Linked DNA regions of Drosophila melanogaster. The protein of the gene in region 2 interacts with the protein of the main gene of each other region in a pairwise test. Each region holds a gene or a part of one and is shown on either strand. Other genes may lie near its edges. The genes, in order: Arf6, pav and tum.

What was found.
Region 1: the proteins of pav (region 2) and Arf6 interact in a two-hybrid assay, tested with the Drosophila melanogaster proteins (one study listed by BioGRID).
Region 3: the proteins of pav (region 2) and tum interact in a two-hybrid assay, tested with the Drosophila melanogaster proteins (3 studies listed by BioGRID).

The regions. Positions count from the first base shown.
Region 1 is NT_033778.4:15,316,860-15,327,837, reverse strand, and holds Arf6 (ADP ribosylation factor 6), read right to left. Parts: upstream 5,338-10,978; 5' UTR 5,126-5,337; exon of another isoform or gene 5,097-5,125; intron 5,036-5,096; exon of another isoform or gene 4,808-5,035; intron 4,715-4,807; 5' UTR 4,697-4,714; intron 4,390-4,696; 5' UTR 4,355-4,389; coding exon 4,273-4,354; intron 3,994-4,272; coding exon 3,691-3,993; intron 3,637-3,690; coding exon 3,494-3,636; 3' UTR 2,348-3,493; downstream 1-2,347. Other genes in the region: CG8160 (uncharacterized protein), read left to right, coding at 1-289; CG8157 (uncharacterized protein), read left to right, coding at 1,476-1,487, 1,548-1,877; CG8155 (uncharacterized protein), read left to right, coding at 5,818-5,862, 5,950-7,272, 7,330-9,258; Xpc (xeroderma pigmentosum, complementation group C), read right to left, coding at 10,127-10,404, 10,461-10,629, 10,691-10,978. UniProt on the Drosophila melanogaster protein: GTP-binding protein involved in protein trafficking; may modulate vesicle budding and uncoating within the Golgi apparatus. Promotes cell movement and remodeling of the actin cytoskeleton during compound eye morphogenesis.
Region 2 is NT_037436.4:4,238,026-4,249,372, reverse strand, and holds pav (pavarotti), read right to left. Parts: upstream 6,640-11,347; 5' UTR 6,496-6,639; coding exon 6,485-6,495; intron 6,426-6,484; coding exon 5,667-6,425; intron 5,609-5,666; coding exon 5,059-5,608; intron 4,999-5,058; coding exon 4,677-4,998; intron 4,622-4,676; coding exon 4,071-4,621; intron 4,010-4,070; coding exon 3,539-4,009; 3' UTR 3,140-3,538; downstream 1-3,139. Other genes in the region: ago (archipelago), read left to right, coding at 1-649, 719-900, 965-1,190, 1,251-1,461, 1,548-1,719, 1,786-1,897; Sqor (sulfide quinone oxidoreductase), read right to left, coding at 6,913-7,229, 7,283-7,469, 7,670-7,879, 7,938-8,138, 8,197-8,421, 8,482-8,587, 8,850-8,977.
Region 3 is NT_033778.4:13,852,881-13,862,999, forward strand, and holds tum (tumbleweed), read right to left. Parts: upstream 5,810-10,119; 5' UTR 5,606-5,809; coding exon 5,527-5,605; intron 5,464-5,526; coding exon 4,530-5,463; intron 4,461-4,529; coding exon 3,673-4,460; intron 3,618-3,672; coding exon 3,541-3,617; 3' UTR 3,270-3,540; downstream 1-3,269. Other genes in the region: Echs1 (Enoyl-CoA hydratase, short chain 1), read right to left, coding at 170-235, 301-1,025, 1,222-1,318; CG6553 (uncharacterized protein), read right to left, coding at 1,857-2,038, 2,095-2,872; Uba3 (Ubiquitin-like activating enzyme 3), read left to right, coding at 6,118-7,470; CG16935 (uncharacterized protein), read right to left, coding at 7,551-8,410, 8,749-8,962; CG13344 (uncharacterized protein), read left to right, coding at 9,217-9,224, 9,287-9,355, 9,418-10,119.

The DNA.
Region 1 (10,978 bases), on a different chromosome or scaffold from region 2:
ACAGAAAGGATATGGCGCATCCGTGCCCCCAAATGAATTCGCACTTGGACTCTCGGGCCAAGGACGTTTGGGAGGATATGGCAATGCCACTCCTCAGAGTGGAAAGTTGGGATACGGCGGCGGACAGGGAGGCTACCGAAGACCAGCTCCCCAATCGGGCCAGTTATATGCCGCAGGAGAGCTCGGAGCAGGCCCCCAACTTGTACAGGGAGAATTCTCCGGCGGAATTGGTCACGAGAACTGTAACCACGAGCATCACAAGCATCATGGACATCATGGACGTTACTAAAACGGCAACTTTAAGTATAACAAAGTAAATTAAAAAAAAAAAAAAATTAAATCTTGCGAAAAAGTTGACTTAATTCTTAAGGTATAGTTATTGCTCACATTAAACTAGGAATTAAAACACATAGACATCAATATGCCAAAAATACAAGCACCATTACAACTTTCTATTGAACTTCCGCAATAATTATCAATCTTCGATTTCCCGAACTAATCTCAGTACCAGTCGATTAAAGCAACATTAAATAGTTTATTCAATTTGTCAAGTTCTTAAGATTGTGTTTTTAGAAATGACACATCTATTTTATAAACCTCTGCAAGTTATTCGAGAAATGCATTTTAGAAATTCAAAATCGGTCTTTTTTTTAGCAACAGCAATTCTTAAATTATACTACTTTTTTCCCAAATCGAAATATATAACTTTTGTCTATATTTGTATATTGAGTATATTTCCTCTTTGTAAGATTAACATTTTGTTTGTTACATATTAACAAAACAAAGACTTTTTTGACAGATTTTTTGTATATTTTTTTCACAGGGCACTCCAATCAATAATCTGTACTATCCAAATAGACATAGACATATTAAAGTAAATAATACAATTAAAATTTATATATGAATTTTCTCATAGTCTGGTTTTAAACCGTTAATCTGTCTATTAAATTTAATTTTTTTCCAGACATCATATTATTATATTATTTTTTAAATAGGTTCTTTTACATAAAAAGTTCGCACACGTGCCCAAAATGAAAATCAAATAATAACGCAAAAAAACAATACTTTCTGCCTAATTGGTGGTTCCGCTGTCTGTGATTAACAATTCGACTGTTTTGTTTTCATCTAAACAATGACCTCCTGTTTCTGTTATCAACATGTTGAATTTTTTACAGGGTAATCGTATTTTGGTGAGAGTATAAATAAATAGCTTAAGGTTGGCACATTTGTTTATAAATTTTGAAAATAAAAAGTCTTTAAAAATCTCCAGCCTCTGCTATATAAATTAAATACAAATAATCGAAACAATTATTACATTGTAAGTTTACATTTGCTTACATACGTTTGTCAAATCGTAAGTGTACTACGCTTAATAGGTATCTGAAAGTCGAGACATAGTTAAGTCCACGCTTACAGATCGGGTATATAAAGAGGCCACTTTCAGAGCGGATTTCAGTTTAATAATTTAAAGCAAAATGAAACTACTGGTAAGCTAGCTGGGTTATGTGAAAGAAAGTAGAAGGATCTTACGTTCGTCTATTTTATAGATTGTTGTTCTTGCCCTGGTGGCCGCAGTTTTGGCCAGACCTCAATTTGGACCTGGTGGTCAAGGAGGATTTGGTGGTCAACAAGGCGGCTTTGGTGGACAGGGAGGATTCGGTGGAGGTCCTGGATTTGGTGGACAAGGTGGTTTCGGTGGCGGACCCGGAGAATATGGCGGTCAAGGTGGTTTCGGTGGCGGACCGGGAGGATATGGCGGTCAAGGTGGTTTCGGTGGCGGACCGGGAGGATTTGGCGGTCAAGGTGGTTTCGGTGGCGGACAAGGCGGCTTTGGCGAACACCACAGACACCATGGAGGACATCATGGGCGCTTCTAATACCCCAATTTCTTAATCGTCTTAAAATCGTAAACAAAAAATAAATAGTTTTTTCCAACATATACCTGCTGTTTTCGTGAACCAAATATTAAGGAGACCACGGATCCTGGAGATAACTCGCAAACGAAGGAAAGAACAAACACGCATCTTGAGGAGACGCAAAACCAAGGAAATACTACACTCTGGGATTCTGCACACAGAAAAGATTGACTCGGCTATTGATCCTGACTAATAATATATATATTAACAATATATACACTTTATTAAGTCGGAATCGTTTAATTCTACATACAAATTTCATAGGATGTGTCACTTCATGTGAGAATATTAACAAGATTATCTTGGCAATAAGCGCTTCGTCACTTCGTGGATCGCTAGATGACGTTTATTTGGGAACTCGTCATCTTCATCACAACCTTTTCATCTGTAAAACGTGACTCTACTAATTATTATATATTTTTATTATTATAATACAATAATAATACAAAAACATATTTACAGAAAATAACTTTGAAACCTATGATTTGTTTCATAACTTAAAATTTATAATTATAATTCAGCAACAAAAATCTTAGATACTGAGATATTACGGGGTATTATGAATAGGTTGGTTTTGATAAAAACGGTAAAGGTATAAAACAAGACATACACCCACAAAAAATAAATTATATTATTCATGCAAGGATGTACCAAGGAGTTTTTCGGACAATTCGGGGATGATTGCAAAACAAAGGTAAATTATTGAACGCCGTGTTGAACAAATCATGCTCAGGTATACCCAGGCTCATTTACCCTGCAAATTATGGCACTGAATGTGGCATGTTTACCTTTCAAATTGAGCGCACAATACAAACCAAATGCGTTTGACACTGAAGTCAGAATATGCCTTTCTCGCAAATCCAGGGACCTTCTTCGTCTCGAAGGATATCAGATTGAGAAAATTAGCTGTTGGAGTGGGGAAAATAATGAGGGATCATAGACACACATTGAGGAAGGCACAGTTACTATTTCATTATATTTTGAAGACTCAGTTTTAATCTAAATAGCAATCTATAGGTTTGTTCAATTGTTTGTTCGGTGTTTTCTTTTATTTCGTTTGTTGTTGTATATGGGCTTTAATTTGAATATTTATTTACAATTTATTTAAGACTCGTTACACCCTTGCTCAAGTCAAATATAGTAACAGTTGCAATAAACAAGCTTTCAACTTATTGCTTACGTGTCTCATCAATATAATTTACAAGAAAAACTTACTTAAGGCTAATCTCCGTTGATGTTTTGCTTTATGTCTCTGTGCTTCACGCATAATTTACTTTACGGATATTTACCGGCTGCTTATTTTGATGCTTCTTTTATTTTGTAGGTATGTGTATTTTTACTAGTGAGAATATTGGTTGGTTAATTGAGAGTATATATAATTACTATATATATCTGACTTCTATATACCATTTTTAACATTTGTAATTTATGTACGTTCGTTTTTACGAATTGAGTTTTTACTATGCGCTTGCGGTTGGTTTTCTTTGTATAAATAAAATAGAATATTTTCGCTTTTGCTTCGCTTCGAATAATACATGCCATATACATACATATAAGAAAATGCTCGATTACGATTCTCATAACTTATGGTTCGACGTTAACCAAATGAGGCCCTCGGACAGGCCATCGCCGGATGTGGCACATGATGGTTGTACATACCAATTGCGATCTCTTATTCTAGTTAAACCTAGTTTTTCCTGGATTTCATGGGGTTTCATTGCTGCAAGAGAGAACAATAAGCGGATGGAAACAATTGGCTGAGCACTATACTAACCATCAGGCAGATCCTGCTTGTTAGCAAATATCAGTATGATGGCGTCGCGCATCTCCCTATCGTTAATTATCCTATGCAGCTCCGTGCGCGCCTCGTCTATCCGATCCCGATCCGCACAATCCACGACGAAGATCAGACCCTGTGTACCCGTGTAATAGTGTCGCCATAGCGGTCGAATCTTATCCTGCCCACCGACGTCCCACACATTGAACTTGACATTCTTATAGGTGACGGTTTCCACATTAAAGCCCACAGTGGGTATCGTTGTAACAGATTGGCCAAGTTTCAGTTTGTACAGAATCGCTGTGGGTGGACAAAAACAATATTACTTTAGACACGCAAAGGATGTATAAACAAAATAGCTCGAATTCGATTAGTGATAGTACTGGTGTACGTATTGAAAGGTCTTTATATTGTACATTTTTTCAAAGTACAATAAGAATAAAAACAAAACAATAATTGCCTCGCCTCAAGAGTATTTTTTAAATGGGATTGGTTTCCACTTAGGAAACTGATGAAACTAATGGGTACTAATCAGGCCCACAATCGAATTCGAGAACCCTTTATTGTTTATGTGCTTACTTGTTTTTCCAGCCGCGTCCAGTCCGAGCATGAGAATTCGCATTTCCTTGTTGCCGAAAATTTTTGATAGTAACTTTCCCATGGTGCTGATGTGTCATCCATTAAACCTTAGCCAATCTGAAAAACAGTTCGAGTAGAGTTGGCGAGGTCTTCCAAATAAGCATATCGATAAGAATAGCTGGGCGAGATTCAGGGCAGGGTCAGTGAATTTCCAGATAATAGGGCCATTGTAATACAGTTTGCAGTTAACATATCAATTTATGATATAAGAACGCCGTCGCGCGAAGGCGCGTAAGTGATATATGAACATACAAATGTAGCTACATATGTACACATACGGCGGGCACAGGCAATTTGGTGGCCATATAGAGCTTGTACGACGGCGGAAGCTAAGACCATTATTTTGCATAATAATTTCACTTACATTGTCATCAGCTCGTTGCTAAAAAGCGAGAAAAAAGTGGAGAGGCAGAATTTATCAGTGAAGAGCTTGCAGCACACAGTCGCACACACAAACACACGCACACATGCTTACACATAGGAAGTACAATTGGACAGATAAACACACTATAGTGTCTCGCAAATTGAGGCAGAGTTATCTCAATTGCGGGCTTATCGCTGGCTCCACTGAATGGGCGGGTGGATCCGACCGCTCCACCCCCGCCCCCTGAACAGCCACCGCACCCCTCGACGACCCAGTAAAGCCGGCTTGGGAGCAACGATATCGGATGGTTTTCGGATTCTACGGAATTTCGCTCGCTCTCTCGCTGCTGCTTGCCTACGTCACAAACACGCCCGTAACACACATACACATGTATACACACCCAAGTCTCCGACGACCGCCGTTACGCACCGCTTTCCAGCCCAATTCGTTCCACGCCAGCCTGAAATCCGTTAACATGTAGTGCCAAAGTGCGCGGGCCGGGGCATAAAATGCATTTGCTAGCACACGGCGGCCAAAAAACTATAACTAACAACAACAATTTTGCACTAATCTTCTTGTATTTATATACACATACACGAAGCAATGTGCCCGTTAGCGCAGAGCGGAACAAGATCTTCGGGAATTCCAGAAAATACGCTAAAAAATGCAAAGAATGCGGAGGATAAATACCAAAAATACTGAATTTATCAGATGAAAAACGGTGACTGGCGGGGATATCGTGATTTTTTGGCCAATAAGTTATTACTTTTGCAATTCAAAATTGAAAAAGATTTATTTTCTTATATTCATTTATTATTCATATTAATTTAGCAAACAATGTAGCTGATATATTCTCCTCGTACGTTCAACAATTTGTTAATTTTTTTTAATTTTAAAAATTTTTGTTTTGTGTATTTAGTGATTTGGTATTTTAATGTAGCCCTGGTGAACTTACAAAGCCCTAGGGCGGCCACACTGAAACCGATGATTGAAATCAAGTCGATTGATTTCAGTTTCCTTCTTTTGTATTGTTTTATATTTGAGCAATACTTACGATACTGACATCGCTCAGAGGTACAATGGAACTTAGTTAGTCGTCGACCAGAACAGACTCGGAAAACATGGCTGGCATTTGCCCCCGGGAGGCGGTTCGGGTGAAAGTGAAGGCAAGTGAAAGGTGGCCAGAAGGCGAGACAACAAAAGGGCTGCTTAGTTTGTGTTCCTCAATCTAATTTTTTTGAAATCGCCCACAGAAATGCGAACCCACTGCTCGGCCGGAGTGGCGAAAGTTTTCAGTGGACCCGCAGATCACCACGCTGGAGGTGTTGTACTCCCTGCTGGCCAAGGCCTTCGATGTCAAGTCGGACTTCTCCATTAAGTACAAGGCCTTTGATCCGGCGGGCAACGAGATCTACCTGGCCGTGCGCTCCGACTGGGATCTGGATGCCGCCTTTCTGAGGATTCACAACATTTCCATTCAGACGGCCTCAGAACCCTGCCTCACCCTGCAGATCGATGTGAAGCCATTTACGGTGGTCAGGGAGTGTGAGACCGAGGCCTCCCCGGGTAGATCCATAACGGGAGCGCCTGCTCCCGCAACTCCTGCACCTTTTGTACCCGCCCGCGAGCTTATGTCACCACTGCAGTCCTTAGGAGTCTCCCAGAAATATGTCCAGCACATGCAGACCAAACTGGGCAGCTCCATTCTGAATCAGATGGAGAAAACCTTCTCCATAGTGCAGAAAGCGTTTAACTTATCCGAGGAGCATATGGCCAATCTACCGCCACGGCCGCCCATGTGCGACAGCGAGTTCCGGCTCTTTCTGGACGCACTTGGTCAGATTCAACGCAAGGACGAGTTGCATAGGGTCATCTTCCTAGGAGGCATTGACCCCAGTCTGCGGCGCGTTGTGTGGAAACATCTGCTTAACGTTTATCCCGGTGGCGCTAACGGACTGGCACTTGATGGACACCAGCGTATGGAATTCATGCGACGAAAGTCTGAGCAGTACTGTCGTCTGAGAGACACATGGAAAGCGGCCGTGAAGCGAGGCAGTGTGGCTGGAGAACTGGCTTACGTAACGAGCATGGTAAAGAAGGATGTTCTCCGCACGGACCGCCTGCATCCATTTTATGCAGGCAGCGACGACAATCAGAACATCGCTGCGCTTTTCAATATCCTCACCACATATGCACTAAACCATCCATCGGTCTCATATTGTCAAGGCATGTCGGACATTGCTTCCCCGCTACTGGTTACCATGAACGACGAGGCACAGGCCTACATCTGCTTTTGTGCGATAATGTCACGTATGCGTGGAAACTTCATGCTGGATGGGATTGCAATGACTCAGAAATTTGCTCACCTAACGGAGGCGCTAAGTTTTTATGATCCTGAGTTCTGGGAGTACCTCAAGTCGCAGCAAGCGGACGACTTACTTTTCTGTTACCGTTGGCTACTGCTGGAGCTAAAGCGGGAGTTTCCTTTTGAGGATGCCCTTCGCATGCTGGAGGTGCAGTGGAGTTCACTTCGTTATCGATGTGATGGGGAGAAAGAGCTGGCGCTCTTTGAAAAGGTTAGTGCGAAACCCAAAGGGAATTGCTTAATTTCTAATCACCATGATTTTTCACAGGAATTCGTACCCATTACTGATGCCTCCGTGCCCAATAGCGCCAGCACTTTTTCCAGCTCCTACAGCGCTACGCCGACCAGTCCTTCCTATCTGCTGACAAAACCGCGTGAAAGTCCCTACACCAAGGTATGCGCTTTGCGCCGTCAGAGCTCTTCAGCCTCCTTGAGCTCACTAAGTTCTTCGGTGGGAACCAGTCACGGATTGGACAATACAAAACGGCTGAATCACAGCCTAGACGACAATATGTCGCGTCATGCGACAGCCGCTGCTCGCCGCCAAAGACGGACTTCGGCCAAGGTCCATCAAAGTCTGGACGAGTCAAAAATGCTGGCGCTTATTGAGGGCGCTTTGGATAATAGGAATGTCAAGTTGGAACAAAACTTGTCCGCCGGCGAGGAAACCGAAGATGATGATGTATTTGATAGGAAGGAGTCGCCAAGCTTTTTGGAGACAAATCCGTTTAAGGATGATGCTCAGAGAGCACCAGAAAGAGAAACCACACCTCCTGTTTCACCAGGACGAGCCTTTCTGTGTAGTTCGTCTTCCTCGAATCTGGACGAGGACCCCAGTGACAGGAAGGCCAAGCTGCAGCACAAAAACATTATGACCGTGAGCAATATCATCGCCAAACAGCTAGCTACTAATGCTAGTCAAGTGAGTGAAAGTATGAAGCGAGTAAGCACTTCTAGTGGTGGCCATTTTAAGGATCTCAAGGAAAAGCTGGCGGCAAGCAGTCGTATTGGTATCTCTTTTGATGGAGAAGGAGAAGATGATGGTGATCGGAAGATGCCGCCAAAGCTTGTAAAAAACTTCAATGAATTCCTAAATTTTGCAACTATTAATAAGAATCGTATATCCGATCGTTTTGCCACTCAGCCGCAACAAACATCCGGTCCAATTTCGGTTACTAAGCCCGTGGTACAGCTAACCAAGAGTGGGATGGGTAGCTCCCTGGACGAATCTGATTCTTCCTCACTTCCGGAAACCAGTTGGAGCGCTTCAACGGCTGCGACGACCATTCAGCAGGCACAGGAACTGAGCAGTTACAATCTACAGCTAGATTTGGAAAGCAATCACCCATGCGACCCCGACGATTCAAACACACCGGATCAAGATCCCGACCAGGAGTACTACCCCATGACGACGGCCATAACGCGTGAGCTGCGCCTAGAGGCCGAGAATCTAGATCGACAAGTTTTTGGGCTGCCTTTTACGGAGAGCGAGAAACGGGAAGACATCGAGTACGAGAAGCTGGACAAGGACGCCCTGGACTTAGTGGAGGATCTCAAGGAGAACGAGATCATAACCTGTCCCGATGTCAGTGAGCTACATATGCGTCGTCGACAGCGACTGGCGGCTAAGAGTAACAGCGTTCAGCAAAACGAGTCGCATGCCTTTAATCCATTCATCGACGAAAGCCAACTTATGGATGGGCACAGTCCATTGGGAATGCGCAACAGCAACAGTTTGCCCGAAGTCATCCTGCCCATTTCCACTGAGCCGAGTCTAGTGGAGGTTTCGCCTTTGGTGGAGATCGCCACGAATGCAGATGACGAGAGCGCCTATACGCGATCCCCCCAGCGTTCAACCCATCTTAATGGAGTCAGTGCAGTGAATACCACTGCGGCCGCATTGCCTCCACCTACAGAATTCGGTGGAGGTAATGCATTCCTCATGTTTCTCTGTCTAACACTTTTGCTACAGCACCGAAACACGATCATGAAGGCAGGCATGGACTACAACGAGATTGCCATGCACTTTGATAAAATGGTGAGGAAACACGACGTCACTCGGGTTCTCAATCAGGCCAGGCGTATGTTCGTGGACTACCTTAAGGCACAAAGCAGCCCACAGCGCCAGAGATCGCCCAGCGGGACTGTCTCCACTGGTTCCACGGGCGCGAGCTTGACTTCATCAATGCCTGCTTAAGAGACTTGCAATCCTACCCCGCTTCCATGAAACCTTAGTGTCATCTCAGCTTGGCAACCGTTATGTATGAGTTACTGAAATTTCACAAATATTCGATGAGTGTTATGCAGAACTTCTCCAATTCAACAGAACAAAAAACCCATTACAATAAACAATTTTATCATCTTGGCATTAAAAGAAACTTTGACTCCACGATAACCCCATGCCCTCGATGCACGAACTTTTCCTTTAAGTTTTAACATTTCATGAAAGTGCAGCTCTTGATGTAACCATAAACTCAGTCGATTGCTCAGATTTGTCTTGCTAGAGGTGAATGGCAGAATACATAACCAAAGTCTTCTTTTTGTACGTATACGGATTTTGTACTTTCTTATTTTGAATTAAGGTTTTATTTATATTTTATTACATATTTATCTGCACCTTTGCCAAACGATCAAATGCGAGCTGTTTGGCTGGAAATTGCTTTATTTCTCTAGTCTGCTAATGCATTCCATGCTGTTGTAAAAACTATATTTTAGATTTAAAATCGCGCCTAAATACTATTTTATGCAAATAAATTGACGGATCTATAACCCAAATAACCATAATCTTATTATCTCAAACGTTCTGTATCTTAAAAATCTCTCAACGTACTCTGAAAACAAAATAATTTTGTAAATTAAAATTTAATTCAAAAAATTCGAAGTAAAGTTAACGAATATGCTATGTAAATTTACGAAAAAAAAGAACTTTTAAACAATCGATTAATAAACGAATTCTAAACAACTAGTGTACAATTTATTGGAATCAAATTACGTTTTAAATACAAAAATATCAAAATGCCTTTAAACGAAACAATAATACGAACATAAATCAGAGGCCAAAGAATTCAAAAGTTATATTTTTTCTTGAGTCGCTCGCGAATGAGGAGACCCTTGATCAGCTTCTTCCAGTTTCCGTACACGCGGGTTTCGTACTTCTCCTGCTCCTTGAGAACTTGTACCTGTTGATCCTCTTCCCAGGCAGCAGTGACCACTTCGCGGAATTCCTCGCAAACAATGAAGCCATCGTACATGGGATGACAAGCGCCTTGATGAAAATCGAAGCCAACCACTGCATTGGCACAATCAATATTCAGCTTCTTACAGATGCGCATCAAGCCGGGCACTATAATTGAATTTCGAGGTTATTTAAATAAATTGGTGAGAAGAAACCTTTCTTACATCTCAAATGCACCGTCTTCTTTGGCAGCATGCAGTCCTTAAAGAGCTCAACATTGCCGTAGGCATTTCGCGGCACAATTCCATTCTCTGCAGTTGGGGGCTCGTATTCCTGAGTTTGCCAATACCCGAAGATTTCCAATGGCTGGTCCTTAATAACAGTGCGCGTGAGCTGAAGGATACAACACAATAAAATGAAGCACATATGCATTTAAAAAATGAGCACAACATACCCTATCCCACTTTGGACGTGCCTTAACCACCTTGTACGGCTGTTCGCCAAGCTTCACCACCCGTGCGCTTTTTAGCCATATTTCCCGAGAATGCAGGAGGTGCACACAATCTCTGGAGTACACCGCTTCACCACGGATAAAGCCCAATGTAGGCGCATCTGGTGGATATAGACCCTGGAACTTAAGCAAGTGCCGCTCTAGCACGTACAGCGGATGGTCCTTGAACTCGGAAATTGACTTTGGCAAGGGTTTATCGGAGTGAATGCGACGTAGCTGATCATCCTCTGT
Region 2 (11,347 bases):
ATCGGTGACGCCCTCATCGCATCTGACTAGCTCCACGCCGGGATCGGCTTTGGGTCGTCGCACCCCACGTTCCGTGCCGTCTCGTGACAATCCGCCACCAGAGCTGCAGCACTGGTTGGCACAATTCCAACGATGGTCCCATGTCGAGCGATTGCTGGCCCTGGACCGTCTCATCGATCACTGCGATCCGTCTCAGGTGCGGCACATGATGAAGGTGATTGAGCCGCAGTTCCAGCGGGACTTCATCTCCCTGCTGCCAAGAGAGCTAGCCCTCTTTGTGCTCTCGTACTTGGAGCCCAAAGACTTGCTGAGGGCAGCGCAGACCTGCCGCAGCTGGCGCTTCCTGTGCGACGACAATCTGTTGTGGAAGGAGAAGTGCCGCAAAGCCCAGATCCTCGCCGAGCCGCGTAGTGATCGCCCGAAACGGGGACGCGATGGCAACATGCCGCCAATTGCTTCGCCCTGGAAGGCCGCCTACATGCGTCAGCACATCATCGAAATGAACTGGCGGTCGCGACCTGTGCGCAAGCCCAAGGTACTCAAGGGCCACGACGATCATGTGATTACGTGCCTGCAGTTCTCTGGCAATCGCATTGTGTCCGGCTCCGATGACAATACACTTAAAGTATGGTCAGCGGTGAACGGAAAGGTGAGTAAATCGAACAAGCAATCATTTAATGTTTCCCTGCTAACGAGATATCTTTCTCAACAACTGTAGTGCCTGCGCACTTTGGTTGGTCACACCGGTGGTGTTTGGTCTTCCCAAATGTCCGGAAATATCATCATTTCAGGCAGCACGGATCGCACGCTCAAAGTCTGGGACATGGACAGCGGCGCATGTGTGCACACACTTCAGGGGCATACGTCCACTGTGCGGTGTATGCATTTGCATGGCAGCAAGTAAGTTAAAACCACACACAACTATCCACTAACCAATGCTGATTGTTGACGAATTTCTCAACAGAGTGGTCAGTGGCTCGCGAGACGCAACCTTGAGGGTTTGGGACATTGAACAAGGCTCCTGTCTGCACGTTTTGGTTGGTCACTTGGCTGCTGTGCGTTGTGTGCAGTACGATGGGAAGCTGATTGTGTCCGGAGCGTATGATTATATGGTGAAGATCTGGCATCCGGAGCGCCAGGAGTGCCTGCACACACTGCAGGGCCACACAAATCGCGTCTACTCGCTGCAGGTAAGATAGTCAACACTTCTTTGTCGGACTTTGCCGTAAACCATTCTAAATTTCACACAGTTTGATGGCCTGCATGTGGTATCGGGTTCATTGGACACCTCTATTCGCGTGTGGGACGTGGAGACGGGCAATTGCAAGCACACCCTGATGGGTCATCAGAGTTTGACCTCTGGCATGGAACTGCGTCAAAACATTCTTGTCTCGGGCAACGCCGACTCGACAGTCAAGGTGTGGGACATCACAACCGGACAATGTCTGCAAACGCTGTCGGGTAAGTTTGAATCCTCCGTGTTTACTTTTCACTAACATGCTGTAAAAGATCCACTACTAATCTGGTACTCCTTAAATCCCCTTTAGGTCCAAATAAGCATCATTCTGCGGTCACCTGCCTGCAATTTAACTCCCGATTTGTGGTGACCAGTTCCGACGATGGCACCGTGAAATTGTGGGACGTTAAGACGGGCGACTTTATACGTAATCTTGTGGCTCTGGACTCTGGTGGATCCGGCGGCGTTGTGTGGCGGATTAGGTAAGTCCAAGACGATATAAATCCGCTCATTATAAATGTAATTAACTATATCTAAAAACTTTTCAGAGCAAACGACACTAAACTCATTTGTGCCGTCGGTTCCCGCAACGGAACGGAGGAAACAAAGCTAATGGTCCTCGACTTTGATGTTGAGGGTGCATGTGTGAAGTGCTCATAGGAGACGGTGGGGCACTTCCGGTGGAGCCTACGCCGCCGTCTCGCTTGGATTCAGGCGGTGAACGGTCAGGGACGGGGCAGCTAGTATACAGCTTCAAGCGAGATTTCATTGCAAACTCATCCAAACACAGAAAAGCACACACAGACAGATGCCGCGGATGTGAGGGTCCGCAACGTAATGTTGAATGCCTTGCCAACAAAACGCAACTGCTCACATACACCACACACACCATTAACACCACACACACCGTAACACACACACAAAAAACATTAAACAATTAAGGGAAAGAAGAGTAGGGTAGTCGGGTGGTCGGGGTGTGGCTGTGGCTGTGAGTGTATATTGTTAATAATACCCTTTTAAATTACGTTGCTTCATAGCCAAAATTCGTTTTCCACCGTAGAATAATTTCGCTTCTTAGTTTTTATTGCTATTGTGTATATGGCAAGAATCGATTACCTTAATGATAATATTATGATTATGATTACGTATTATAAAGCGCAGATTTACAACTGCAGATGCAAATAATTGTTTCGCGTCGTGTGAACCTGAGAGAGCGTTTATGAGAACAGAGCTTTATATTGATTAAATTGTAATTTGTTTAAATGAAATTTGGATAAGATGGATATGTTAATATTGGCCCACCACTTGAGTTGAGTTTGCCGCCTATTATGTTTACATTTGTGGTTTTGTTTCGTCTCGTCCAACTTGTTTTGTTTAATTGTACTTGAACGGGTATGTACCTAAATTCTATTATCACGTTCTGATTGTTTCCCTTTTACATTTGATTTGATTCATTTGTCGTGCAGTAGCATTAGCGATATTGGCTTCCAATTCCAAATTCGAAATTCCTCATTTGCCAGGAACCTGCCACATTTGCCGCACATAGCGTTTAAGAGTCATCTGCCGAACTCATCGAGCAGCAACTCACACCCACGAAACAGCAACTGCAACATGAACACTGCAACACAACAACACTCACACACGTGAAATCATTAAGCGAACATATATTTTAATTATAGACTGATTTATTAGTAATTGAAATTAATCTACAAATATGTATGTGTAATGGTACCGTATGTATTTCAATAAAATTTATCGGTTTAAGCATAAATCTGAATAAACGCAGGAATAATAATAAAAATAGTTAAAACCATCTATGTGCCACATGTTATTGCTTCACGGAACTCTGGGAGCTTTGCAGCCAGAAAATCTAAAATTGATAAAAACCAAATTGATCACTTTCAGTATATGCGCGTAATTCACTTTATTTGTTCATTTTGTGACTGGACTGGAGTTGGGTTCACTCCGAAAAACAATAAAATATTTAATACTTTATAATAACACTAGAGTAGTTCTATGATTGGACGATGCTTGGATAGTTTCTAACAACTGCTCTTGGCAGATACCCTCCGGGTACCGACTATTTGGAGCAGGAAACATTTCCATTTGCGAGGGGTTGCGAATTCATTTACGGGATTATTTATACAGATTAACTTTTCTTTAATCAAACAAATCACTTCAATGCGATTCAACTCCAAAAACCGAAGTGGGTGAGTAATAAACTTAAATTTAAGTTATGGAAACTAAGTAACTATGAACTAAATGGGTAATTGACTTTGAGAATTCCACGCTGAGTCATTTTTAGATTTTCGACTTCTTGCTGCTGTGTCCCTCAATGCCGAGATTGCAGCGGGAGGCTACGTCCTGGGCTGAGGTGACCGTGCTGGGCACTGCACCGCCGCCCAGAGCCGAAATGTTGCCATTGCTGGGTCGCTTTCGCGTGGGCGAGTGAACCGGTGACTTCTGCTTGAGGCACTCCACATCGTTGAACACAACTTGGGCACCACCGCCACAAGTGGGAATTACATTGCCCTTATACAGCTTCGTCTCCACATCGCCATCCGTATCCGCATCCTGCGAGACGAGACAGTACTTCGTAGTTCCGTGAGCAGTCAACTCCTTCAAGTCGGTTAGTTTCGTTACGGATTTGCGATTCTTCAGATACGGCTGCATAATAGTGCCAAGCGGAACGGGATTAGCTGCCCGATGCTCCAGCCACTTGTCGCCTGCGGATCGAGAGCGTCTATGCCGATTGTTGGCCGCTGCTGCACCCTGTTGGGATATAAAATTATCAATAGATATTGCAATATTCTAGGATTAATCATACACTTACATGACGTGGCGTTGCATATATATCTGTTCGTGTAGCTGGCACCGAGGACTCCTCCGTGCGCGCCGTATATGCACCGCGATCTTTCTCATTAAGTATGTTTTCCGAGCTCTGTGACCGCGGCAAACTGGGCAGATCTTCGGACTGCAGAATGTTGGAGACCAATCGCAACTTCTCGTCCTTGATGCGCATGCGTTCCTGCAATTTCACTCGCTGTTCACGCAGCTTTAGTTCAAACTCTCGCTTATTTTTGTCCGACTCAACGGCCAGCTTGGAGCTGAACTTCTTCTTTTGCTTTTCCTTCTCGTGCTCCTTTTGGGTGAGCATATTCTCCTTCTCGTTCAGCTTGAAAGTCAGCTCTTCAATCTGCCGTTCTTGCTTGCTTAGCGTATTGTTAAGCACGTCAATGGAGCTCTCGTGGATGCGAACCTTCTTCTCGAGTGCCGCACTGCGATCGCGCTCCTGCTTGTAAACAGCCTTTAAGGAGGCGAGCTCCGTGCGCAGCTGAAGATTGTCGCGGTCAAGGTTCATCAGCATCTGCCGGAAGCTGTCACCTGAAAGTTGTGGAATTAGTATTTCAATGTTAAGATTAAGAAAGTGACGTCTTACATTTAATGTCCAAGTTGGCACGCAGCTTCTTTCGCTTTTCTATGCGCTGCTCCAGATAATGCATTAGCTCGCGGATTTTGATCTGTGCCTCGGGACTGTCCATTTCGTAGGCGGGAAAATCGGGTCCCAAACTGTACACCAAACCCACGTCCACCTCCAAATCCTTGGCCTCAGGAATGCCCAGCTCGTTTAGATTATTAACGGCAATCTTGAACAGCTTGTTGGCCTTGCGACGGCCGGGAGTCAGACCCAAATCTTGCTTCATAGGAGTCGCCCGAGCAATTTGCACCTCCTGGGTCATCTCGGCGAACTTCATCACTTGCTAAACGGGATAAATAAATTTTAGGGACCAGAGTACATTGTTGTCAGAAAAATAGTTTACCATATTCTCATCATAGTCCTCAATTCTTGGGTTGATGCACACAATCATGGACACCTGGCCTTCGCCATCGAAGTAGTTTTTAAACATGTGTGTGATCTTGGAGTCTCGATAGGGGACCTTCTTGGGTGCCAATCCATTGCTAGCCGCGAGTTGGTTCTCGCGCAGATATTCCAGGCAAGTGCGCAGCGTCATCAGCGAATTATTGATGTTGCCCGCCTCACGGAGTCGCACACCGGTGTTCTTGGTCCTTGAGGATCGCTCACTGCCCGCCAGATCCACCAGGGACAGTTGACTCACTGTGATGTTTTGCCGGTCCTGAACCACATTCTCACCCTGGCTATCAGTGGGCGCCTGCACCAAGCGTATATTGAACACCGAGTGACTCCTACTGGATTCTGCATTGAGAACAGTGTGTCCCATTCGTTTGCGCTTCTGGCCCATTTGAAAGACCTCGAGGGCGTCCTCCACGGTCTTGACCTCCACCTCTGTGACGCCGTGGACGAACATGTGTCGATTGGCATCTTCACGAATGATTTTGCTCTGCAAAGTCCTGTCGGGTCAAGAATACAGTTAGATTTCTTTAAATGTAATGCTTAATAAATACTTACTTCTGTATACCCGAGTCCTCAAGGAGGTCGTAGACGCTGTTATTGTAAATTTCAATATAGGTGACAAACACCGAGTACATGTTGTCCTCATCCAAACCCAGCAGCGGAATTGGCTCCACGGAGGCCTGGGATGCAATTTCCGGATCCGAGTCCTTGTGCCTGAAGGCAAATCGTCCTGAGCCAGCAAAACGCTGGTTCATCTCGTGTTGGCGCTCCAAAAGCGCATCCTCTTCGGACAGGATCTCGAAGCCATTAAGCTTGTCCGGCTTGAAGACGAACTTCTTGGCCTGGTAATCTGAAATGGTGCGAAAGAGCACGTCCAGGCAGCGCGGCATGATGCCGCGGTGTCGCAGGTTGCCGGTCATGGTGTACGTTTTTCCACTTCCAGTCACGCCGTAGGTGAAAAGCAGACTGTTTCGGCCTTTCAGTAGGTTCTCCACCAACGGCTGGGCCACAGCTGCGTACACATCCTGCTGCGTGGCATCCGGCTGGAAAACGTGCTTGAATATGTACTGAACCTCGCGCTGGGCGCCGTTGTGTGGCTTGTGATGCTGCAGCAGCTGATCCTGCGGATTCAGTGCGATCGTCGTGGAGTTCTTGACCCTTAGGGAGGTGAGATCTGCGTCGGATTGTAGTGGCCGCACTCGACAGAACACATTCACTGGATCCCTGGCCTTGTCGGAGGTGTCTCGTCGCTGTTTCTCCACCGTTTGATGCACCCGCGGAGTTTTCGGGACGACACGCATCGGCGTCCTGGGTCTGCAAATGGGTATTCTCATTGATGGAGTTGTTCTTTCGGGAACTGTCATATCACTTACACTGCCTTCATGTTGTCAGCTCGTTTTTGCAACTAATTTGATATACGGGAGTTGGGTTTCTTCTTGTTTTGTTGCTGGAATCGATCTCTCTTTTAGTTCGTTACCTTCAAATTTACAGCGCCAAGCGACGCCACGCTTGGTTTTAGAGTGACCGAACTTTAGAAAGCGGTTAATGCTGCAAATACCATCCCCTGCTCCAATATATACTTGATACATACTGAAACCGAGGCTATGTACAGTGCGTGCCATTTGAATAGGTTAAAATATTTAGATATACTAGATTTTAAACTAATTTAATACTTTTATTTATGATCTCACATACCAAATTAAAAGTACAATGTTTATAAATTAGTATGATATTAAGGTATGGAATGGTTATGATGATGCCAAATATTCTTTTAAAATTAATTAAAGATCATTTGAGGTCCCTATTGCTTTTTATTAAACTTTAGCACTGAGAAAATTTTCCGCATTAGTGCCGGTCCGTTCCAGTAGCCGTTCATCATCAGCTTCCAGTAGAGCACCGGCATCAGCTCCTTCTTCATAAAGAACATGGAGTACCTCTCCTTGGACTGGTCCAATGGAAAGGTCTCCACGGGGGTGAGGTTGTAATCAAACTCAGCCAGGATGCAGGAGCTGTAGCCGGTGACGATGGGGCAGGACGAGTATCCATCGTAGATATCCGTTGGGGCTTTGCCCTCGATCGCCGCCATTACGTTTTTGAACACAACCGGTGATTGGGCGGCTGGAGGTGAAAAATCAATTGAATATTCTGATCAGGATTCCCAACCCATTTACCTGCCGCCGCGGCCGTCTTCGAGTTGGGACTGGACGCCGAATCGCCGATGGCGAACACGTTGCTGTACTTGTTGTGCTGCAGCGTCAACTGGTCGACGTCCACAAAGCCAGTGGGGGTTACCAGTTTCTTGCAGTTGGCCACCACATCCGGAGTGCTCATCGGCGGAGTCACATGAAGCATGGAGTACTGAGAAAGATATAATACTTATATAAGTTTAATTTCATGGCCTTCAATTCTCCTATTTCTGCAATACTATACGACTTTAAAATTGATCTTAGTTAACCTACTCTTCATATTTCTCGCTTTAAGTAGAAAGATATAGTTCTAGGATCTAGATCTAGATCTATATAGTATCTAGAATACCCAATTAATTGACCAGCACTTACCGTTTCCTCATAGTGAACTCCTGGTTTGGCGAGATCCTCGAACACGGCTATATTATCTTTATGTCTCACTTCAACGAGATTTCTTTGAACATTAAGCGTGATATTTCTCCTCTTGATCAGTTTCATCAGGGCCTCTGCGTAATGCTTAACACCAAAAATCACGGGAAGCGATGTATTGTAGATGATATTGACGTTGTCGCGACGACCCATCTGAAAAGGGTTTCAAATTGAAGTTGTTTGCCAGATATTCTATCTAAATGATGCACACCTTCCTAAAGTAGTGCTCAGATATATAGGCGATTTTCTGCGGTGCACCTGCACACTTAATGGGACAATTGGGAAACGTGAATATAGCATTTCCTTTGTTGGTCCTGCGCAGACATTCGTACACATGATCCACGTACTTGGGCGAGTAGATGGAGCAAACATTACTGTCGGGGGTCTCCAGGGCCTCCACCAGGCCAGGTATCTATGGATATGTGGATATGGATATTAGCAACTATTAAACGTACTGATACCCTACGTACCTTTCCATAATTGAGCTGCAGTCCGGTGGCGATGATCAGGAAGTCGTACTTGATGGTCTTGCCACCAGAAGTGCTAACCGTATTATTATCCGGATCGAACTCCAGCGCCTTCTCCTTCACCCATTTGGCCTTTGTGGGCAGCACATCGGCCATTTGGCGGTGGCTCTGATCCAATCTCTTCATACCACCTCCTATTAGGGTGAACATGGGTTGGTAGTAATGTTTCTATGGGGAATTATCGCGCTATGTCATAATGGATTATTTACTGCCTTTGGGCTTACTCACATCTTCCGGTTCCAGGACGACCACCTTGTCGCTGCCCAAACGTGAGGACAACTTGGCGGCCATGGCACACCCACCGGTGCCACCGCCCACAACCAGCACTTGGCATCTGGAAAAAATAGGATTTACTTAATTGCTGGAATATACAATGACAGACACCTCAAGGGAGATTAGTACAGTCGCATGACCACACCCACCATCAGTGCCATCTAACCATGGCCAACAAGTTATCTCTTCGTTATCGCCATTAATTAGTTACTAGCCTAAACATACTAATTCAATTTGTTTTGGTAGATATAGATATAGATTTGCCATGCCATTTGTTTCGCGGAAAATGTCATAAACTTTCGCAGCTATATAAACAAACTTACTCTTGCCGCTCGCGGTTCACTCGAGATGTGGACAGGAATCTGGTGGAGAAGGCCGTTGGAGCATGGTTGTGGGTGGCTAGGAGAAGCTTCTGGCACTGGCTGATGGTTCCTGGAAGGCGACGGTTCATCGCAACAGCTGGATGATCTTCGATCCCTCAATCTGCGTTAAAGAAAAACAAAACGGACTGCAAGTGCCCACAACCGATTGAAGACTGGCAAAAAAGAGCTTTCAATGGGGGGTTATCAAACCGGCTGCACTGGCAAAAAGTTTGGTCTATTTCAAATTTAGAAAAAACTTTAGAAATTTAAAAAATGCCGAAGATGCTTAGGCGGCACTGTGTAGTGCTTCCCAACATTTCGACCGGCTATCAAGGAAAACAAAACGAGTGTGGGAAAATTTGTCAGTGAAATCGAACATAACAACTGATTTTGAACACAAGTAAATAACACATTAGAAATTGTTAGAATTGTTTTAAGCGTACTAATTTGGAAAAAGTGTCAGGCTTCTAAAAATGTGGTATTTCTTAATTTCGCCCGTCGGCCATAAAAATCAGAGTGTACGTGGCTGAAAACCAGTTTTTATGTGGTAATAAAAATGGGGAAAACGCAACAGGTTGCACTGTAGTTTTCGGATGGGTGTATTCATAGCTTAACCTTGAAAGATGGCAAAAGCTTTTCAGCATGCTTTTGTACTCAGCTGTTTAAAGCTCATTTGGTGCTAAATAATCCAAAGCTCTAAAGTGCGCGAATGCTCGAAGCACTTAAATACTATCTACAGTGGATTTTGCCTACAGACAACACATGACATCATGCCTTAAAATACGAGGACTTAATTCTGAGAACAGCAAAGAATTGTGTGCTTATCGGGGCTCAATAAATAAAACAATCTGTAGGTGGCGCGTGTGCTCGGACCACTTGCTTTGTGTCTACAGTGGAACCCGGCGATAAGCGACCCATGAGATCATGCCCTTAAATACGGCTCCTCAGCGCTAACAAAGTATCATTTATTTGCCTGCTTATCGGGGCTAACAAGCGTTTTATTTGCCTTCTTAGTGCATCGGTTTATATTTATGGTATACCTCCAGGGGCAACCTTATCGAGTTTGAAGAATTTGAGTTGCATTTGCTGGTAACTGGCCATTACACTGTAAAAATATACGCATGCTTTCTAAAGGATAAACAAAAAAAAAAAACGCCGAAAAACTCGCATATTTTTATAATCAGGCATGTGGTTAAGTAACTGGTTTAATTTAAAATTGAATATTTTCACATTTGATTTGATTACTTGCGAGTCTTATCAAGCAATTCCTATAATATGTGGACATTAAATAAATGGTCAATTAATAGATTGCACAGACTCTAATCAGAATATGAAGGTCACCAATAAATCTTATTAATAAACTGCAGCGGTCATCTACTCATATACGTCAAACTCTAAATCAAGTTTTAAAAATTGCAACTAATATAAATTAAATGATTTTTGCAATTTTTCAGATGTTGATAACAATTTAATTCCATATTTAAATCAAAGTATTTCGTTAAAAAAGGAGATTTAAAAAACTTGTCTTCCCTTAACTTTCGTATTGTTTGATTTTTCTAAGGGTCTTTTAGGATCCCTATGTCATTCATCGTTAAGGGTTTTACTTAAAATATAATGATCGGACCCGAAAAGTTATATAATGCAAATGTTTTATGCCCCGGATTTTTCTGGGACCTTGAATCTATAGCTACTTCAGAAATAGATAAAGATATTCAAGTTAAATTAAACTCTTTTAAGATTATATCATGAAAAAGGTTCCAGATATTTCAATTAAAATTAAACATGTAATTTATATAAATTTCGATTTCTGATGAAAATAATAACAATAGTAAATTAGGGGTCTTTCCACCAAGCTTGTTGAGTACAATTTCCCTTCGGATCCAGGGATTTTCCACGGCTCCCCATTCCGTGCATTCGGATACGAGCAGATAGATCGATGTTGCTAATAAATATGGTAAATGTGGGATGATTAAGTGAACAATGTTGCCAATAAACGCGAGGCGGACATGTCAAACGCCACGAGACGACAACTGTGACAGCGGCGGGTTTAATTACGCCATGCTGCCGACTGATTGCAGATGGGCTTACGGATGTGGGATGTGTGGGCACATAGATGGATGGCTGGATGTGGCCACACACAGCCCACTGCGTGGGCGGGTGCTGAGGGGCAGGTCCTGGCGAGGTCCTAGCGTGGGCCCGACCCGCCGCCATGAGGTGGCCCATCGTCAATTGGAGACAAGCTGGCAATTCAAATGAAGCCCTATTGACTGATGGCCAAATTGGCTCCGCGACTGCGTGGGCGGCTATTCGAGGGCCAAGCGATAGCTACGGATATTTATAAGAAAACAATGGGTGGTTGGGTGATTGGCTGGCCTGCTGGCTGGATGCTTGGATGCTTGGGTGGCGGCTGGGTGCCTGGGTGGTGCTCGTTGCCTCTCAAACGGGCGAGGGGCCGCTTT
Region 3 (10,119 bases), on a different chromosome or scaffold from region 2:
TGGATTACCACCTGACATGCGGACTAGCATACCTCATATACTAATGACAAATTATGGTAAATTGTTCATTTTCAAATTATCACGATTAAAGTTTTAATTGCGTAGAAACAACAGTTTTTCTTTTAGATAATATAAATGCAAAGCTGGCTGGGATTGATTAGGGTAGTATTTACTCGTTGGTAAACTTGGCAGGGCGCTTCTCGGCGAAAGCGGTCATGCCCTCCTTGCGATCGGCCTATTGGATGAAAGAAAATACAAGAGATTAAATAGTGTTAAGCAGATATTTAAACTTGAACTAACCGTGGAGAACGTGGCATGGAAGGTGCGACGCTCGAACTTCAGGCCCTCTTGGAGAGTGGTCTCGTAAGCCGTGTTAACCGCCTCCTTGCACAGCTGCACGATCAGATTGGAGTGGGTGCCGATCTTCTCGCCCAGCTTGACGGCCTCGCCCAATAACTGGTCGGCGGGCACCACCTTGCTGGCCAGACCCAGCTTCTCAGCCTCCTGGGCGCCGATCATATTGCCGGTGAGGCACATTTCCATGGCCTTGGACTTGCCAACGACGCGGGTCAGACGCTGGGTGCCACCGGCACCGGGAATGGTGCCCAGGGCAATTTCAGGCTGACCAAACTTGGCCTTGTCACCGGCATATATGATGTCGCACATCATGGCCAGCTCACAGCCACCGCCCAAGGCGTAACCATTCACGGCAGCAATGATGGGCTTCTGGGTGCGGGCCACCTCTGTCCAGTCGTTCAAGAAGTTGCCCTGGATGCACTGCGAGTAGGTGTTGCCCACCATCTCCTTAATATCAGCGCCAGCGGCGAAGGCCTTCTCGCTGCCCGTCAAAACGATGGCGGAGATGGTCTTATCCTTGCTGAATTGCTGCAATGCGGTGGACAGCTCCTTCATCAGGCCATTGCAGAGGGCATTCAGGGCCTTGGGGCGGTTCAGGGTGATCACGCCTACGTTCTTGCCCTCGCCGGCCACTTCGGTCTTGATGTACTCCCAGTTGTTGTTGGTGGCTGAAAAGAGATGGCATCATAAATGAGGTGATCGTATGTGCGCGAATGTTACGCAATCAATGTTTATTTGCCTGGAAAAGTACAAAAGATGTCGCCAAGAAACCGGCGGCACTTGATATCTTGATATTCCGGCTTAGGTTGGAGCTGGGCATCAATCGCGTGGACTTTGATCCCTCGCAATCAACCATCTACTTACAGGAGCTGCTGAAACGGGTGGCCACCTGTGGCTGACGGGCGGCTGCCTGCAGGACGCACTGGGCGCGGCTAGCGAAGATCTTAGCAATGTTGGCCATTTTCAATTGAAGGAACTCTGAGCCGGCTGCAAGTGCAATTCGTTATCTAATCTGTGGCGGTATCTGGCATGGAGCCACTCTAGAACTTGGGATACTTACGCTGCGAAGCACTGGAGCAATATTGGCGCACTAGTGGGGCAGGTGTGACCGCGTTCGCTCCCACCAGAAATGCCACTATTTCCAGTCACTGTTTCAGTCACAGTTTGGGTCGCAGCAACAAGTGGTTCTAGCATTACAGCTGTTAACGCAAAAGTATTGTTAACAGCCGAAATTAAAATGTGCAACCTAATAACACAATTATTATGTTCTTAAATCTGTTTTAATATATTTACAATATAATACTACTTCTCACGTTTTACTCTAAAAATAAATATACATTCGTATTTAAGCTTTTAATTTTTATGGAGAACTTGAAATAACATTATTTACATAAGATAAGCCTAGATAGTTTGAAATTAACAGTACTTTTTATCAACAACTTGGCTGGTAAATAAGTAAGTATGCGTGATCACATGTTTAGCTTTGTAAAAATTAATTCCTAGACCTTTGGTATTGAAGATGTCTGGGGAAGATTACTGCTGGTCTCCACCAGCCAAATGTGCTCCTCTCGTTGCCTTCTTGAGCCATTTTCTCGACGCACCCGCCAAATTAGAAACACCAATACCACGATTAGGAAGCAGAATATTACTATAACCAAGCTGAAAACATACGCTTGGGGTGCTAAAAGTAAATAAATTAGTATTAATGAAGAAACTTTTGATAAATACACAACTTACTTTCACAGTAAGGAAACTTCCTAGCCCACAATGCGTCCTGGCAAATGTTCTGGTTCTCGCCTTTCAGTCTGTGCTCCGCCGGGCAGTCGTAGTAGATACGGGTGCCATTGGCTACCCTTGATCCTACAGTGAGGATTGCATCTGTGAAGTGCTTAACCATAACGTTTGGCAGTTGGGGAACCACGCACTCCCCGTTCTCCTGAAGAGGATTTGGTCGTGACGCCTTCCTTGTTACAGGAACAGTGGGAGTTATCCTATGGATACTACTTTCCGTAGTTGTACTTGTCGTTGAACTGACTGTAGTCGTTGGTATGGTAACGCCCTCGCAAAGGGACTCCAGCTCATCGTCTCCATCTCGGCAGTCACGGATGCCATCACACAATTTGGAATAGGTCATGCATTGGCCAGAGGAGCAGTACATTTCCCAGTTGTCGCAGTTAGCCTGCTGCATCTGCGCCCGGCACAGCCAACCCTGCTCATCCGAACCATCCACGCAGTCCTGGACGCCATCGCAAACCGCTGTGCTGGCTATGCACGCACCGTAGCTGCAGCGAAATGCATAACCCGGACACCAGACCTTCTCACACATGGCGACCGTCTCATCGGAACCATCCAAGCAGTTGGCGCTCCCATCGCACAGCTGGTCCAGTTGGATACAGTCGCCTCCTCCACAGCGATGCCCGCAGCTTGTGGCATTTTGGGATCCCAAGCAAATGGTGACGGCTAAGGAGAGAAAAATCACCAGCTGAATTGAGAGATTCTGATGCGCTCCGAACATTCTAAATGGGTTCCAATCGACAGACTGACGGTTCCATGGCGCAGTTAAGGGTATTATTACGAGAGTTGTCCAAACCAGTTTGATGATGATACGGCTCTAGCTGTGCACAATTATCAGTCATGGGGTTTTCTGAGCGGCAGTCAGTATTTTCAATGACCGAGCTTATCACGTTTTTAGATAATCCTATCAAAGGGATATTCCAAAGTTGTATCGAGTTTGCCATTAGTTGTGATGCACGTTTTGTGGCGAAACATTCCCGTTTCCAAATCCAAATCCGGAAATGTTTAATATACTTTTGGTTACTAACATGCCTCCAATAATTTGCCATCAAGAATATAAAAAAGTAAGTTCACTAAACAGATTCAAAAATATTTGAACTTGAATAAAAACTTGTTATATTCTTTTATCGTTTATTTATATATTTGTTCATTGTTCTTATTGCTTTTCAAATGCATATTTTAGTTTATTTCTCTGGTGAGTATACTTATGTTAGTACGATAATAACGTGCTTTAGTTTATAATCGAACGCATAAATTATAAAGAAAAGCTTATGGTTGGGTTGGGTACAAATACAGCTCGGGGTTGGCTGGCCGGAAACAAAAAACTTGCAAAATACTTGAAGTAAACTTAAGTAACACGTCAAATGCTTTCCAACAAGGAAAGTCTCGTTATTTCTTGTGCGCAGATGCCGGCGGTGTGCCGTAAAACTTCCGCTTCTTAATGGTGCCTCCTTTGAAGGGAGTTGCTGTGAAGGAGAGATAATTAGAATAATTAAAAAAATTAGCTCATAAATAACTCACCATATAGCGAGAGTAAGTCATTTTTGTTGCTTGGCACCCGCTTGATAACTGTGGCCGGTGTTCTTGTCGGATCTATAACGATATATTGCTCCCAGAACGAAACGGGCAGCTCAAGAAGTGCCTTCATCACCTGCTTCTGGGTGAAAACTTCCGTGTAGATCGCATGCTGGTCGGGATCTGGTGTGGAGTAGCCCACAATGGTGGGGCCAAAGATGAGCGAGATGTTATCGATCGGCATTAGCACGACTGGGCACTGGGCAATTCGTTGGAAGTGCAGTATGAGGAAGGCCAGCGTATCCCTATTGGCCTGTGGTAGCTGCTTCACCGACTTAACCAACATATCCTGGGCAGTTTTGGTGTCAGGATTTTGGACTGCGTTTGCGAAATCCTTCCATTGGCTGGTGGGAATGAGAGGCTCTGTTAGGGACCTCAGGAAATCCTTGACACAACAGCACAGCACATAGATATCCGTGTTGCCCAAATGTGGAGTGGCCTTGCCTCGCAGGAACTGCTCCTTGAGGGCCTTGTACTCCCGCTCCGACGAGGACAATCGATAGAGGCCAACCTCGGTCAGGCCGCGGGCTTCAATCTCATTTACGCAGTGCACAATCAGTGCCGGGATCATGGGTGCAATAGATGGTGCAAAGTCCGTTACATAGCCAGTCATGGTCTTCGTCGTCGGTGTTCCCGTTTGCGGCACACAGCTAACGGTGAGCAGATACCGACAATCGATGTGACAGCGCACCGGGCAATCCCGACATCTCAGCCCAACGGCTCCAAACCGTATGCTGAAGAGTATAAAAAGTATTTAATTAATAAAAAAAACCTACTTGGAGCAGAACTTCTAGTAAGCTTACCGTTTCTGACACTGAACGCAATTGTCGCCACGCAAGAATGTCTTCTGACTGAAGGTGTGGTTCCTCATCAGTGGACGGTGCTGCAGTGGCGTTCCGGATTCAGCGACAACGTGAGGTGCCATAGCATTTACCGGCGTCAGCGGCGGTGCGGTGGCCTCTTTAAGCACCGATCGCCGTGGCGTCGAGGATAGTCCGTCGCCGATCCTCTCGTTGCCGGCAATTACAGGCAGCGACTCAATGGTCGACTCTGCACGAATCACGCCCTGTCCATCCTGGGGTATGGTGACCTTGGTGGTGGCACAAAAGCGCTCAGCGCCTTGACCCACGTCCACCGTGTGTTGCTCCACTCCGATTCCGACGCTAGAGCGCCGCGATTTGCCAGTGGTTGGTGTAGTCCCGGACATACTGCCATTCAGTCCAGTGCTCAATCGCGATCTCTTGTTGCCAACGCTAGGAATCTGGTTCTTGGGCAGCGAAGGACGATGCTCTCGCCAAGATTTTGATGTGCGCACATCGAGGAAGTCGTCCTCGGAGTGTGTAATAGACAAATCCGACAGCAACGATCCGGTGGAGTTGATGTCGCCATAGGACTTGTCCTCCCGCACGGCATTCAGGGACTTGCGCTTTCGCGACGAGGGCAGTGTGTGCAGAAAGGCCAGCTTGTCGCGGGTCTCGTTGTTCAGATTGCGCTCGTGTCGCAGCAGATCTGCCACAGCCATGATCTTGCTCTCCATGGCATCTCGTTCGTGTTCCGCCTGGCGGCGCGCCTTGATCTCCATGTCGATGATGCGGCGTGCGTGAAAGAGTTTGCCCTCCAGGTCGCCCATTTTGGTCAACGACTTGTCCAGCTCGTTTTGTATCCTGGCCGTCTCGGCCGCGTAGCCCGCGCACTTTTCGTGGTACTGCTCGAACATGCGCAAGAACCGCAGGAACTCTAAATGGAATACAAGCATCATGTAGGGCTTCATTTGCCTTGCGTGTTTTCAGTTTTACTCACCCTCCTCAGGAGTTCCATCGGTAAGCACTTGCATGCAGCGTCGCAGATCATCGAAGGACGCCAATGCGGAGAGCGCCATTTTTGCTTGTCTCGGTAGTTCTACGAATCGGTTTTCACTCGCAGGGACTGCCTGCACACTGGTTTCCTTGATTCAACTTCGAAATCTACTGAAAATCAGTAGTATTTACCCAAAAACGAGTGGCAAACGGAGCACGCTGCAAAAGACGCGCTGAATTTTTTCAAGTTCCGTTGTTTTCAAATTGACGCCATCTGCGCAGTGTGACCATTAATGGGTGGCTCGAAATAACAGTAGGGTAGTCATGCTAACAGAAAATATCGATCTGATCGTGTTAGAGATGATAGAGATTGTTTCAAGTTAACAATTCTTTCGGAATTAAATAAAAAATAATTTAATGTTATCCTATTAATACTTTTGAAATGATTATATTAATAATAATATAATTACAATATTTTTTTTTATTTACAATATGTCTTATATAAATTCTTATTCACATAAGCTACCATCACTAATATTTATTCCGACCCGAGTAGTGTTGCTAAACGAATCACAGTCTCGATTTTGTTTGAAAAATGTCTGTCCACTCACCCAATCCTGGCTTAATCCTCCAGAGCAAGCGTTTCAATGGACTGCGGAACATCCTGGAACGCGAAGGTCCCTTCTGCAAGGACGGTTTCGCGGCCTCGTCGGAAAACCTGGAGTTCTTGCAGACCAAGTGCCAGGTTCTGATCATCGGAGCCGGTGGCCTGGGCTGCGAACTGCTGAAGGATCTGGCTCTGATGGGCTTCGGCAACCTGCACGTCATCGACATGGACACCATCGAGCTGTCCAACCTGAATCGCCAGTTTCTGTTCCGTCGCACAGACATTGGCGCCTCCAAGGCGGAGTGTGCGGCTCGCTTCATCAACGCAAGAGTGCCTACTTGCCGGGTGACGCCGCATTTCAAGAAAATCCAGGACTTCGATGAGTCCTTCTATCAGCAGTTCCACCTGGTTGTCTGTGGCCTAGACTCCATTGTCGCCCGGCGTTGGATCAATGGCATGCTGCTATCAATGCTGCGATATGAGGAGGACGGCACCATAGATACCAGCTCCATAGTGCCCATGATTGATGGCGGCACCGAGGGCTTCAAGGGGAACGCACGCGTCATCCTGCCCGGTTTCACGGCCTGCATTGAGTGCACGCTGGACCTGTTCCCGCCGCAGGTCAACTATCCCCTATGCACCATAGCAAATACTCCCAGGCTTCCGGAGCATTGCATTGAGTACGTAAAGATCATACAGTGGGAGAAACAGAATCCGTTTGGAGTGCCCCTCGATGGGGACGATCCCCAGCACATTGGTTGGATCTACGAACGGGCACTGGAGCGGTCCAATGAGTTTAACATCACCGGAGTGACCTATCGCTTGGTCCAGGGCGTTGTCAAGCACATCATTCCAGCTGTGGCCAGTACCAATGCAGCCATTGCCGCCGCCTGTGCTTTGGAGGTCTTTAAGTTGGCCACCAGCTGCTATGACAGCATGGCAAACTACCTGAACTTCAACGACCTGGACGGAATCTATACCTACACCTACGAGGCCGAGAAGTCGGAAAACTGCTTGGCGTGCAGCAATACACCGCAGCCGTTGCCGATTGAGGATCCCAACACCACCACGCTGGAGGATGTGATAAAGCTATTGTGTGATTCCCCGCGTTTCCAGCTGAAAAGCCCAGCCTTGACCACTGTGATGAAGGACGGCAAGCGGCGGACTTTGTACATGTCCGGGGTAAAGAGCATTGAAGAGGCCACCCGAAAGAACCTTACTCAGAGCCTGGGCGAACTGGGTCTACACGATGGACAGCAGCTCACAGTCACCGATGCCACCTCGCCGTCCGCCATGACTCTGCAGCTGAAGTATCAGTCCAATGAGGTGGAGATGGTCTAAAGTGTATCACAGTAGATAACAATTTTAATACACAAGTCGTATATGTAAATAAACAGCAGGCTTAGCCTCGAGTTACGCATCTAAATGCTCATATCCAGTATGTACTTCTTGCCGGTGAATCCCTTGAAGCTCAAGGCAGCGGCCGCCGCGTCTTTGAACTTTGCCAAGGGCACCATCTCATGGTTGGGGGCCACGAACTTTCCCTGCTCCATCAGCTCGAAGATCTCCTTGAACATTTTCGAACGCTCTGGTGAACTGTAGTTCTCCTTGGACCAGCGAGTCATCCAGAAGCCTCTAAATGCAATGTCCTTGAAAATGAGGGGTCCAGTGGCCACTGTGACGGGTTCGCGGGACATTCCGCCGTAGGTGACCAGCACTCCGCCATTGTCTAGATGACGCGACACCTCCGTGGCGCTTTTTCCGCCCACACAGTTGAAGGCCAGACGGGGCTTTTTCAACTTGCCCGACTTGAAGATGTCACTGGTGCGAATTTCGGCCTCTGTTAGGACCTCGGTGGCTCCCAGGCACTGCAGCATCTGCTTCAATTCGGCAATTTCTGGGCGGTCGCGTACAATGCCAACGCTATTGATGCCCCAGGCTCGGCACAATTGGTGCACTGCCTGGCCGACGGCGCTATTGGCGCCGTTTTGGATGACCGTGTCACCCGGACAGAGCTGCACAAAGTCCTTTAGCATTCGGTAGGCAGTGGTGGGATTCACTGTCGAGGTGGCGGCCTCCGCCAAGCCAACCTTCTTGGACACGATCAATAGTTGATCCTCCTTGTAGACGGCATGGGTGGTCCAGGTGCCCAGGCCACTGGCCAAGGGAATGACGTGCTGTCCTGCCTCAAAGCCTTTGACTTTGTCGCCCACGCAGATGACCTCCGCCACACACTCATTGCCGCCAACGGCTGGAAACTTGGGCTTCACCGGGTATTTACCTGTAAAGGATTTATAATAATCATTATCAAAGTGACTTTAAACAAGCTAGGCTTCTTTAAAATTTAAAGCCACAACCTTGAGCATCGTTCAAAGTACAAAGATGTACTGATAACATTCGTTTAACTTTAAATGGATTACTTCTGATTATCCCATAACTGACTTTCAAGCAAGTGGGTATACTTAGAATACAAGTATCTCTGATCTTCAGTTCTTATCCAGTTGTTTCAGCAGAAGATTATCGTTATTAATTATGCAGTTCATGCCGGTTATGGCTATATTTCAGTTGTATCATGCATAATATATGTTTGTTTGTGATATATCCTAATGGCCAGCATACCCTGAATGGTGTTTATGTCCGCCGGGTTAATGGGAGCTGCCAGAATCTTCACCAGCACCTGGTTGTCCTTGGGATCGGGAAGTTTGTCCTCCACCAGTTGCAGAACCTCCTGTGGTTCGCCGTGCTGTGTGTACTTCAAGGACTTGGCCACCACCGACATTTGGCGGCTCCATTGGGCTGCGTTGATGCGAGATAAAAAGCCTCGGCGCAACATTTGTTAGTAGTAGTTATGATTTTTGACCATCAAAAGAGTAAAACGAAAATTATTATGCAGGTTAGTATGACCGTCGCTACATTGCTGCCAACTTGAATTTTAATGACGCCAAAGAGATTTATAATGTTATTTGCTGGTATTTTTGGCTAAGCGACAAACGGTCGCCGTGTTTTCTCCAAATTTCAGGTGTCTCAAATCGATTTTTTAAACAAAACCTCGAAAAATACTCAAAAACTGAATTGACCGGTGATAAAATGGACGCGTAAGCAAACAAATGTTAAAATTCCTAGCTTAATGTTGCATAACAATTGCGTACTCTTGCAGTTTACAAGACGAAGTGGAGTCGCTGGAAGCCATCCTAATGGACGATGTTTGCATTAAACGCACACCCAGGTAAGTAAAACAATACAATATATGTTTTCGATACTACAGCGAGTATTGCAATTCCCGAGAAGCGGCGAGGTGGAGCAGATCGAGACCACGGTGCTGCCCCTGACCGGTGAGGAGGAGGAGCAGCAGTACGTGTGCGTTACCCTGCAGGTGCATCCAACACCTGGCTATCCGGAGGAGAGCCCCACATTCAAGCTGCTGCGTCCGCGTGGATTGGACGATGCCCGCCTGGAGGCAATCCGAAGCGCGTGCAACGCCAAGATCAAGGAGTCAATTGGTTTTCCGGTCGTTTTCGACCTCATCGAGGTGGTGCGAGAGCATCTCAGTGGCAGCAATCTGCCCAGTGGCCAGTGCGTTGTCTGTTTGTATGGATTCGCTGATGGCGACGAGTTCACACGCACCGAGTGCTTCCACTACCTGCACAGCTATTGCCTGGCTCGGCATCTCAATGCCCTACGTCGCAACTACCAGGAGGAGTTCGATAAATTGCCTGCCTGGCTGCAGAAGACGGCCGATCCCTTCCAGGCGCTGTGCCCCGTTTGCCGTGAGCACATCGGCGACGAAACGGATAGCCTCAAGTGCGCCATGCCGCCATCTGAGTTGCTGAATGCTCCGGAATTTAAGGTGACCGAGGAGCTGCGTCAAATGCAGCAGCGCATGTCGGAGCTGTATCTGCAGCAGAAGAGTCGCGGCGCCATTATCGATGTGAACGCCGAGGGCTCTGCCGTGATTTCCATCGAGACGGAGGAGGACATCAGGCGCAGGCG